2 linked regions of the Callithrix jacchus genome follow. The protein of the gene in region 1 purifies or fractionates together with the protein of each later gene. This does not show direct contact. Links are inferred from orthologs where the notes say so. Each region holds a gene or a part of one and is shown on either strand. Other genes may lie near its edges.

Region 1 (3,964 bases):
CCCAACACTTTGGGAGGCCAAGGCAGGTGGATCATTTGAGGTCAGGAGTTGGAGACCAGCCTGGCCAACATGGTGAAACCCAGTCTCAACTAAAAATATAAAAATTAGTCAGGTGTGGTGGCCGGCGCCGGTAATCCCAGCTATTCAGGAGGCTGAGGCAGGAGAATCACTTGAACCCGGGAGGCAGAGGTTGCAGTGAGCCAAGATTGCACCAATGCACTCCAGCCTGGGCAACAGAGTGAGACTCCATCTCAAAAACAAACAAACCAAAAAAAAACAGCTGTGGTGGGTGACTCCCAAAGGTTTCTGTTGGTGTTCTCATAACATAACGGTCTTCTCTTCTCTGCCTCTAAGACCCAGTTTGGAACTCCATTACTGCTAAGAGAATAGCTCTGCAAGAAAAGCGGAGACACACACTACTTTCTCTGACGTTACAGGACCCAAATGGTATCCCAGGAGACCTGCAAGTATTGGATCAATAATTGGCCAAAATATAAAAAAAAAAAGGTCACCTCATTCCAAGATGTAGCGCATACTTCACCAAATTGAGACCACCACTCGTTAGAATCTTGTCTATGGGAGTTTTGCCTCCCAGCACTTCTTGCAAACCCGTGTGTCACCCCTTCTGACTTTCCACTGATTTTTCAGCTGTTTAATTTTAAAGTGTATATAATTTACCCATGAGAAGTCAAGATCTTTAAAAACAGGAAACAAAGGCAGACAACAGAAAAAATTCAGTACACATAAAGAGTTTCCAAAAGGATATCAAATTTTAACACATTTTACTAACAGAAGGAAGCCTTTATACTTACAGTCGGTACATATTCTGATGGAAATTTGTTTGTTGTGTAGGATATCAGGAGACATGTTTTACCAACAGCACCATCACCCACAACAACACACTTAATTGTCTGCATTGCTGAAATAGTTTTGTATCCACTTTAAATATTTCAAATCTGATGTTAACCTGCAAAAAGATTAAAGACATTTGTTTTGTTTATTTATTACTTATATATGTATTTTTTCCCCTCAGCAACAGGTTAACAGGCGCTCAGAGGAAGAAAAGAACACAACTATTATGGCTAAAAGAACCCAGTAAGAAAAACATTGACTTGCTAAAAGTTACAATAACAAAGTCCATTTCTAAGTTTCTGATCCATGGCTGTTTCAACTTCTTTAGTGTTATTTTTAAAAGGTCCAAAGTGGTATGCTAAGCAGCATATTCCTTTTTATAAAGAGAGAAGGCCAGGTGCAGTGGCTCACACTTGTAATCCCAGCACTTTGGGAGGCCAAGGCAGGTCAATCATGAGGTCAAGAGATCATCCTGGCCACCCATCTCCACTAAAATTACAAAAATTAGCTGGGTGTGGTGGCGCATGCCTGTAGTCCCAGCTACTCAGGAGGCTGGGGGGAGAATCACTTGAACCCAGGAGGTGGAGGTTTCAATGAGCTAAGACCAGGCCACTGCACTCCAGCCTGGTGACAGAGCAAGACTCCGTCTCAAAAAAAAAAAAAAAAAAAAAAGAGAGGAGGCTATATCAGAGAAAATTCCAAGTATTGTGCAGTATTATTTTGTGAAAGCTGTTCTCTGGTTACATGTGCACACACACACACATATATATATATATATGCATGCATGTGAACTAGACTGAAATACAAAGGCCATGCTTTACAGAATGATTCATTATCCAGCCTTAGGGCTATAGTTACTCAGGCTCTAACCAACAAGCAACAGAGCACCACACGATCACACAGTAATTACATGAGTAACATGAGGAACTGAACAAAGATCAGGGTGATCACTGGTCTTAGCAGCTGTTTTAGCACCAGAATGCCTAGTCCAAAACTTATATTTTTATAATGAAAAGGTCAGATTGCTCTAAATCATAGTGACTTATAAACAGATACTATAGATTCTTACTAGAGTCCTCCATTTTAAGAAGCTATCAATTACAAGTACCAAAGAGTCATTAATTTGAGATGCTTTTTATCACATTTAAACATCTCTAAAGTCAGAATGTATCTTCATTGAGAGTCTCTTAGAATCATTATCAGCCGTTTTCCCCCACATTTTGACTTCTATGAAATTGGGATGTTAGATTCAATGAAATACTTTAATAGTTTTATGAAAGAATGAAAAGAAACACCACCCAAGATATACCTAGATTTTAAGATAAAGTCCTATTTAAATTATAATCCTAAAGGGATTATAATTAAACATAAAAATACAGAACTACCTCACTCTTAGTCAGATGCCACATGCTTCTATAGCACCATTCACAACACTTCATCAAAACAATTTATAAATGCCTATTAACATCTCTGTAAATGAATGTATACTACCTCATGTACCACGATACTTCTAGCACTGAGCACTTCTAGACCAGTGCACTGGGAGCTACTAAATGGATGCAAAACTCATGGAACAAAAAGAATATGAAACTGTTAGTATGAGTAACCTACAAGAAATATACTCTCCCGTTCCTCATCAAAATTATCTGCAGTATATTTATCTTTTTTTTTTTTTTTTCTTTTGAGACAGGGTTTTACTCCCATCACCCAGGCTGGAGTGCAGTGGCACAATCTCAGGTCACTGCAACCTCCACCTCCCAGATTCAAGCAATCCTCCCACCTTGGCCTCCCAAGTAGCTGGAACCAGAGGCACATGCCACCATGCCTAGCCTTTTTTTTTTTTTTAAAGAGAGACTGGGTCTCACTGTTACCCAGGCTGGTCCTGAACTTCTGGGCTCAAGTAATCCACTCACTTAGGCCTCCTAAAGTGCTGAGATTACATGCATGAGCTAACCACAACCAGCCATATTTATCTTTCTTTATTCAATTTCCTTTTATATCTCCTTTTTCCTTCTCTTTTTATGCACTAGAGAAGCACCCAAACTTATATAGCATTAAAAGTTAAGGGCCCTGACCCTTAAGCTAAATCAATTACTGGTTCAATCTAAAAACATTCTCAAATAATAATAGTAAGCTGCAAACTCTTATATAGCATTTTACTAAGTGCCAGGCACTACTCAAACCATATTACACATATTCACACATTTTATCCTCCCAAAAAGCCTATGAAGTATGTACTATATCATTCCTATATTAAAGGTAAGAAGAGGCTCAGCAAGTAACTAAGTGAAGGTCATTTAGCCAGTAAGGGGTAGAATTATAATTTAAACCCAAGCAGTCTGACTCTGAAGTCCCTCCTTTTTTTTTTTTTTTTTTTTTTTGAGAGTCTCACTCTAAGGCCCAGGCTGGAGTGCAGTGGCATGATCTCAGCTCCGCTGCAACCTCTGCTTCCTGGGTTCAAGCAATTCTCCTGCCTCAGCCTCCCGAGTAGCTGGGATTACAGGAACATGCCACCACACTTGGATAATTTTTTTATTTTTAGTAGAAACAAAGTTTCACCATGTTGGCAAGGCTGGTCTTTTAACTCCTGACCTCAAGTAATCCAACCACCTGGGCCTCCCAAAGTGCTAGGATTACAGGTGTGAGCCACTGTGCCCAGCCTCAAGTCCCGGCTCTTAATAAACATTACATTACACTATACTGTCTGAGAAGTGACATTAATAAAAACAAATGTAATCAGTGCTAGAGGAGTGACAAGCATATATCCACGAGTTACCAGCATTGCAAACAGGAAGGCAAAAATAAAGAAGAGGAAGCAAAAAACAGGGGCTAAGCTCACTTCCTGTTTTTCACTCTGCATGTAACTACTGAATTTTATTGGGAAAAGGGAGGCAAGAAGAAAGAGCAAGATAGAGTTTGCCCTTCCCCTTTCTATTTATCCAGAAGTCTTCTACTTCTTAGACTTCCTGACCTGACTGTTAGCAATTTGTTACAAACTGGTTGGTTGTGAGTCCCCTGTTAAGAGCCTAGAAGTTTTGGAATCAGAGTGGCTTTACCACACTCTTGCTATGTCACCTCTGTGTAGTTTGGTTTCCCCTTCTGTAAAATGAAA
Region 2 (3,964 bases), on another chromosome or scaffold:
ACCGTGGCATTGACTGCCTCGCTGTGGCCTATGGCGTAGCTGTTAACAAGCTCACACTGCCCATCCCATCCACCTGCCCCGAGCCCTTCGCACAGCTTATGGCCGGTAAGAGGACACGGAGGGCAGGTGAGGGGCAGAGCTCCCTAGCCCAGGACGCATCCACCCACAGACCCCTTCTTATTCTGTCCCCGCTGCACGCGGTGCCCCTAGACTGCTGGGCGCAGGACCCTCACCGCAGGCCCGACTTCGCCTCCATCCTGCAGCAGCTGGAGGCGCTGGAGGCACAGGTCCTGCGGGAAATGCCGCGGGACTCCTTTCACTCCATGCAAGAAGGTTGGAAACGCGAGATCCAAGGTCTCTTCGACGAGCTGCGAGCAAAGGAAAAGGTAAGTCAAGGGACCCAGCTTTGGAAGGAGCATCTCCCCGGTCTCCTTGGGGCAGAGTGGGGGCGGGCGCTGCCGGGATCAGTGCCAGGCTGACCTCCCCGCCTTCGCTGTCTCGGCCGCAGGAACTACTGAGCCGCGAGGAGGAGCTGACGCGAGCCGCGCGCGAGCAGCGGTCACAAGCGGAGCAGCTGCGGCGGCGCGAGTACCTGCTGGCCCAGTGGGAGCTAGAGGTGTTCGAGCGCGAGCTGACGCTGCTGCTGCAGCAGGTGGACCGCGAGCGGCCGCACGTGCGCCGCCGCCGCGGCACCTTCAAGCGCAGCAAGCTCCGGGCGCGCGACGGCGGAGAGCGCATCAGCATGCCACTCGGTGAGGGGCGGGCACCTGGGCGTCCCTCGCCAGTGGCTGCGACCGCGGGGGGGTGGAGCCAGGCTGTGTGCTGACCACGCTGGGATTGGTTTAGGGTGTTGTGGGTGGGCCCATGAGCTGAAGGCTGGAAGGGGTGGAACCAGGAGTGTTTTTTCTGTCTGTGGGTGGGTTCTGGCGGAAGTATTTGCATGTCGGTCTGGAGTGGCTGCGGCCGGGAAGGGGTGTGGTGCACGAAAGTTCTGGGAAGGTCTAGGGGGCGGGGCAGGCCGGCGCTCGGACCTTTCCGACTTGGAGGCGCTTCTGGAGGTGGAGCCCAGCTTTCCTGATCCAGAACGCAGGGCTCGAGAAGCCAGTGAGGCTGGCCACTGCCACAGCCACCCTGCTGCTCCCTGCGTGGCCCGGGAGCCGGCCTTGGGCCCCTGCAGATCACAAACCTGCACCCTGCTCCCCCCCCCACCCAAACCCCAGACTTCAAGCACCGCATCACCGTGCAGGCCTCACCCGGCCTTGACCGGAGGAGAAACGTCTTCGAGGTCGGGGCTGGGGATTCGCCCACCTTCCCCCGGTTCCGGGCCATCCAATGTAAGAAACCTCACCTTTCATCCCCCTCTTCGTCCCTGAGCCCCTTATCCTCTATCTAACCTTGCCCTGGGAGGTGGATCTCACTCACTACCTCCTCTTCCTCCCTGCCCTAGGTCTAGACTGTTAGCTCTGAACTCCAAAGCTGCATTAATTTTATTTTTTTTTAGTCAAACAATTGTATGACACTATGTACTACTCATTTTCCTAAATGCTTTGCTAATAATCGATTTCTTACAGTAATTCTGTTAGGTAGTTATTTTTATTATCTAAGTTTTATAGATGAGGTAGTTATTTTTATTGTTAGCTAGGTTTTATGGATGGAGTAAAAAGTAACTTGCTACACAGCTAGTAAGTGGAAGAACCAGAATTCAAACCCAGGCAGTGTCCTAACTACTGAGTAGCAAATGTCAGCTGAAGGGCTAGATGAGATGCCACAGCCCACTGTCTGCCCCAAGACCCAAACCCATCTATCCCACCCAAAGCTCATCCTGGGAATGGTACAGGGCCCAGCCTGCTCCCCATACTCTGAAGCTGACTGTCACAGTGGAAGGAGGATACGGATCATCTCCAATTCCATTCGTTTCCCCTGTAGTGGAGCCTGCAGAGCCAGGCCAGGCATGGGGGCGCCAGTCTCCCCGACGTCTGGAGGACTCAAGCAATGGAGAGCGGCGAGCATGCTGGGCTTGGGGTCCCAGTTCCCCCAAGCCTGGGGAAGCCCAGAATGGGAGGTGAGTACCTGAGTGCCCTCCAGCCCCAGCATCATCTGCTTCCCAAGTTCTGAAATTCCTAAAGCACCCCTCCTTGCCCTCCCATCACCAGGAGAAGGTCCCGCATGGACGAAGCCACATGGTACCTGGATTCAGATGACTCATCCCCCTTAGGATCTCCTTCCACACCCCCAGCACTCAATGGTGAGTGGCCTTCCTCCTCTGGCAGGATCTGGCTGAGCTCCTTCCGTGGGCACCTTGGGGAGACCATGAGAGGCTAGCAGGCAGAGCAGGAGGCCTGCCCTGGTTGCTCTCATTCTAGAGACTAGGAAACCGAGGCTGAGACAGGACAGAGCCGATCCTAGAACCCAGGTCTGACCTATAGGCCCACAGTCAAGCTGCATACAGCCCAGGCCTCAGCTCGGGCTCAGAGTCTCGTCCTCTTATTCAGACCTAACCTGCAAGAAGGCTCTTCCCTGGCCCTGTGGCAGCCCCTGTGCCTTTAGCAGGCTCCAGGGAGAAAAGAAAGATAGGAAGCCCACCTGGCATTGGGTACCCAAGGCCCAGAGAGGGGAAGGAATCAGCCTGATCAGTCTGTGTGGGGTGGAGCCAGACAAGTGTCCGTCACACTGTGCTTCTCAGAGTCCCTTCTGGGAGCCTGTAGGTGAAGAAGAGAATGAGAAGGCTGATTAGTCAGGATCCAGGGCCCATTGTCACCACATCCAGCATAGCTCAGGGCCTTTCTCTTCTCTGTGATAATGACGGCCCTACTGTGTGCCAAACATTCCCTCCAAGCATTGATGGGGAGGGGCTACTGTTACCCCATTTTACAGATAAGAAAACTGAGTCTCTGAGAGGTGAAGTAACCCACCTCAAACCCCCAGCTGAGGATTTGAACCCAGAGAGACTTCAGCTCCCATGCTCATAGTGAGCTCAGAAGCTTTCACTTGAAGAAGGGGCTTCTCATGTATAGACTGCTTAGGTAGCCAGAGGGTTAGGCAGAGAGAAGGGCTCCAGCATCACTGGGAAGACAGCTTAGCTCAACACTGCCCATGTCTGACTGAGGCCAGAAAGCCTCCCTGCCTGTGGGTCCCTGTGCCAAACTAGGGACCATCCTTAGAGCCCCCACACCTGCTTCTCATAGCCAGAATGTAGGACCCACTTAGCTGCTCTCAGAAGAGTCCTGTTCAGCAAACTGTTTAAACTCACTCCTCCCACCCTACCCAGCCCATCACCTCCACCACTCCCTGAGCTACATTCCATAGTCAGAACAACTGCTAACCTTTGTTGGGTCTCTCCTATATGCCAAGCAGTTCTGTGAGGGGAGTAGTATTATTGGTCTCATTTTACAACAGAGGAAACTGAGGCACAGATTTAAGTGGTTTGATGTAAGGTACCCAGCAGGGCAGAGATTTGAACAGGGCCCTGGGCCCCTACCCACCCTGCCATTTGCTGCTCCAGCAGTTGCACTGCCCTAGGCAGCTGTCCTGCAGGGACTGAACTGAGAACTGGAAGGCCAAGGAGGCTTCTTGAATTTAACTTGCTCTAAAATGTACCAGGCCAGATGGGCCAAAGGAGAGCTCCAGGTCCTGTCAACCCAGGTATGTAGGTTGAAGCAGCCCCTGACTGTTCCACAGAAGCCTCTGGCCCTGAGCTCCCAGAAGCAGGGGCACAAGGGGCCTGAACCCCATTGTTTTCAAGCTTGCCTCATGGTTTTCTTTTTTTCCCAAAGTTTTTTTTTTTTTTTTTTTGAGACAGAGTCTCACTATCATTCAGGCTGGAGTACAGTGGTGTGATCTCAGCTCACTGCAACCTCCATCGCCTGGGTTCAAGCAGTTGTCGTGCCTCAGCCTCCCGAGTAGCTGGGACTACAGGTGCACGTCACCACACCCAGCTAAATTTTGTACTTTTAGTAGAGATGGG

The links.
Region 2: the proteins of CDC42 (region 1) and MAP3K11 purify together in Homo sapiens (affinity purification with western blotting; 3 studies listed by BioGRID and IntAct, with this or other methods). This does not show direct contact. The link is inferred for Callithrix jacchus from reciprocal best matches to the Homo sapiens genes CDC42 and MAP3K11.

What each region holds. Positions count from the first base shown.
Region 1 is NC_133508.1:58,835,478-58,839,441, reverse strand, and holds part of CDC42 (cell division control protein 42 homolog), read right to left. Parts: intron 968-3,964; 5' UTR 918-967; coding exon 813-917; intron 1-812. UniProt on the Homo sapiens protein: Plasma membrane-associated small GTPase which cycles between an active GTP-bound and an inactive GDP-bound state. In active state binds to a variety of effector proteins to regulate cellular responses. Involved in epithelial cell polarization processes.
Region 2 is NC_133511.1:122,692,714-122,696,677, reverse strand, and holds part of MAP3K11 (mitogen-activated protein kinase kinase kinase 11), read left to right. Parts: coding exon 1-105; intron 106-210; coding exon 211-386; intron 387-508; coding exon 509-752; intron 753-1,220; coding exon 1,221-1,334; intron 1,335-1,926; coding exon 1,927-2,062; intron 2,063-2,153; coding exon 2,154-2,245; intron 2,246-3,964. UniProt on the Homo sapiens protein: Activates the JUN N-terminal pathway. Required for serum-stimulated cell proliferation and for mitogen and cytokine activation of MAPK14 (p38), MAPK3 (ERK) and MAPK8 (JNK1) through phosphorylation and activation of MAP2K4/MKK4 and MAP2K7/MKK7.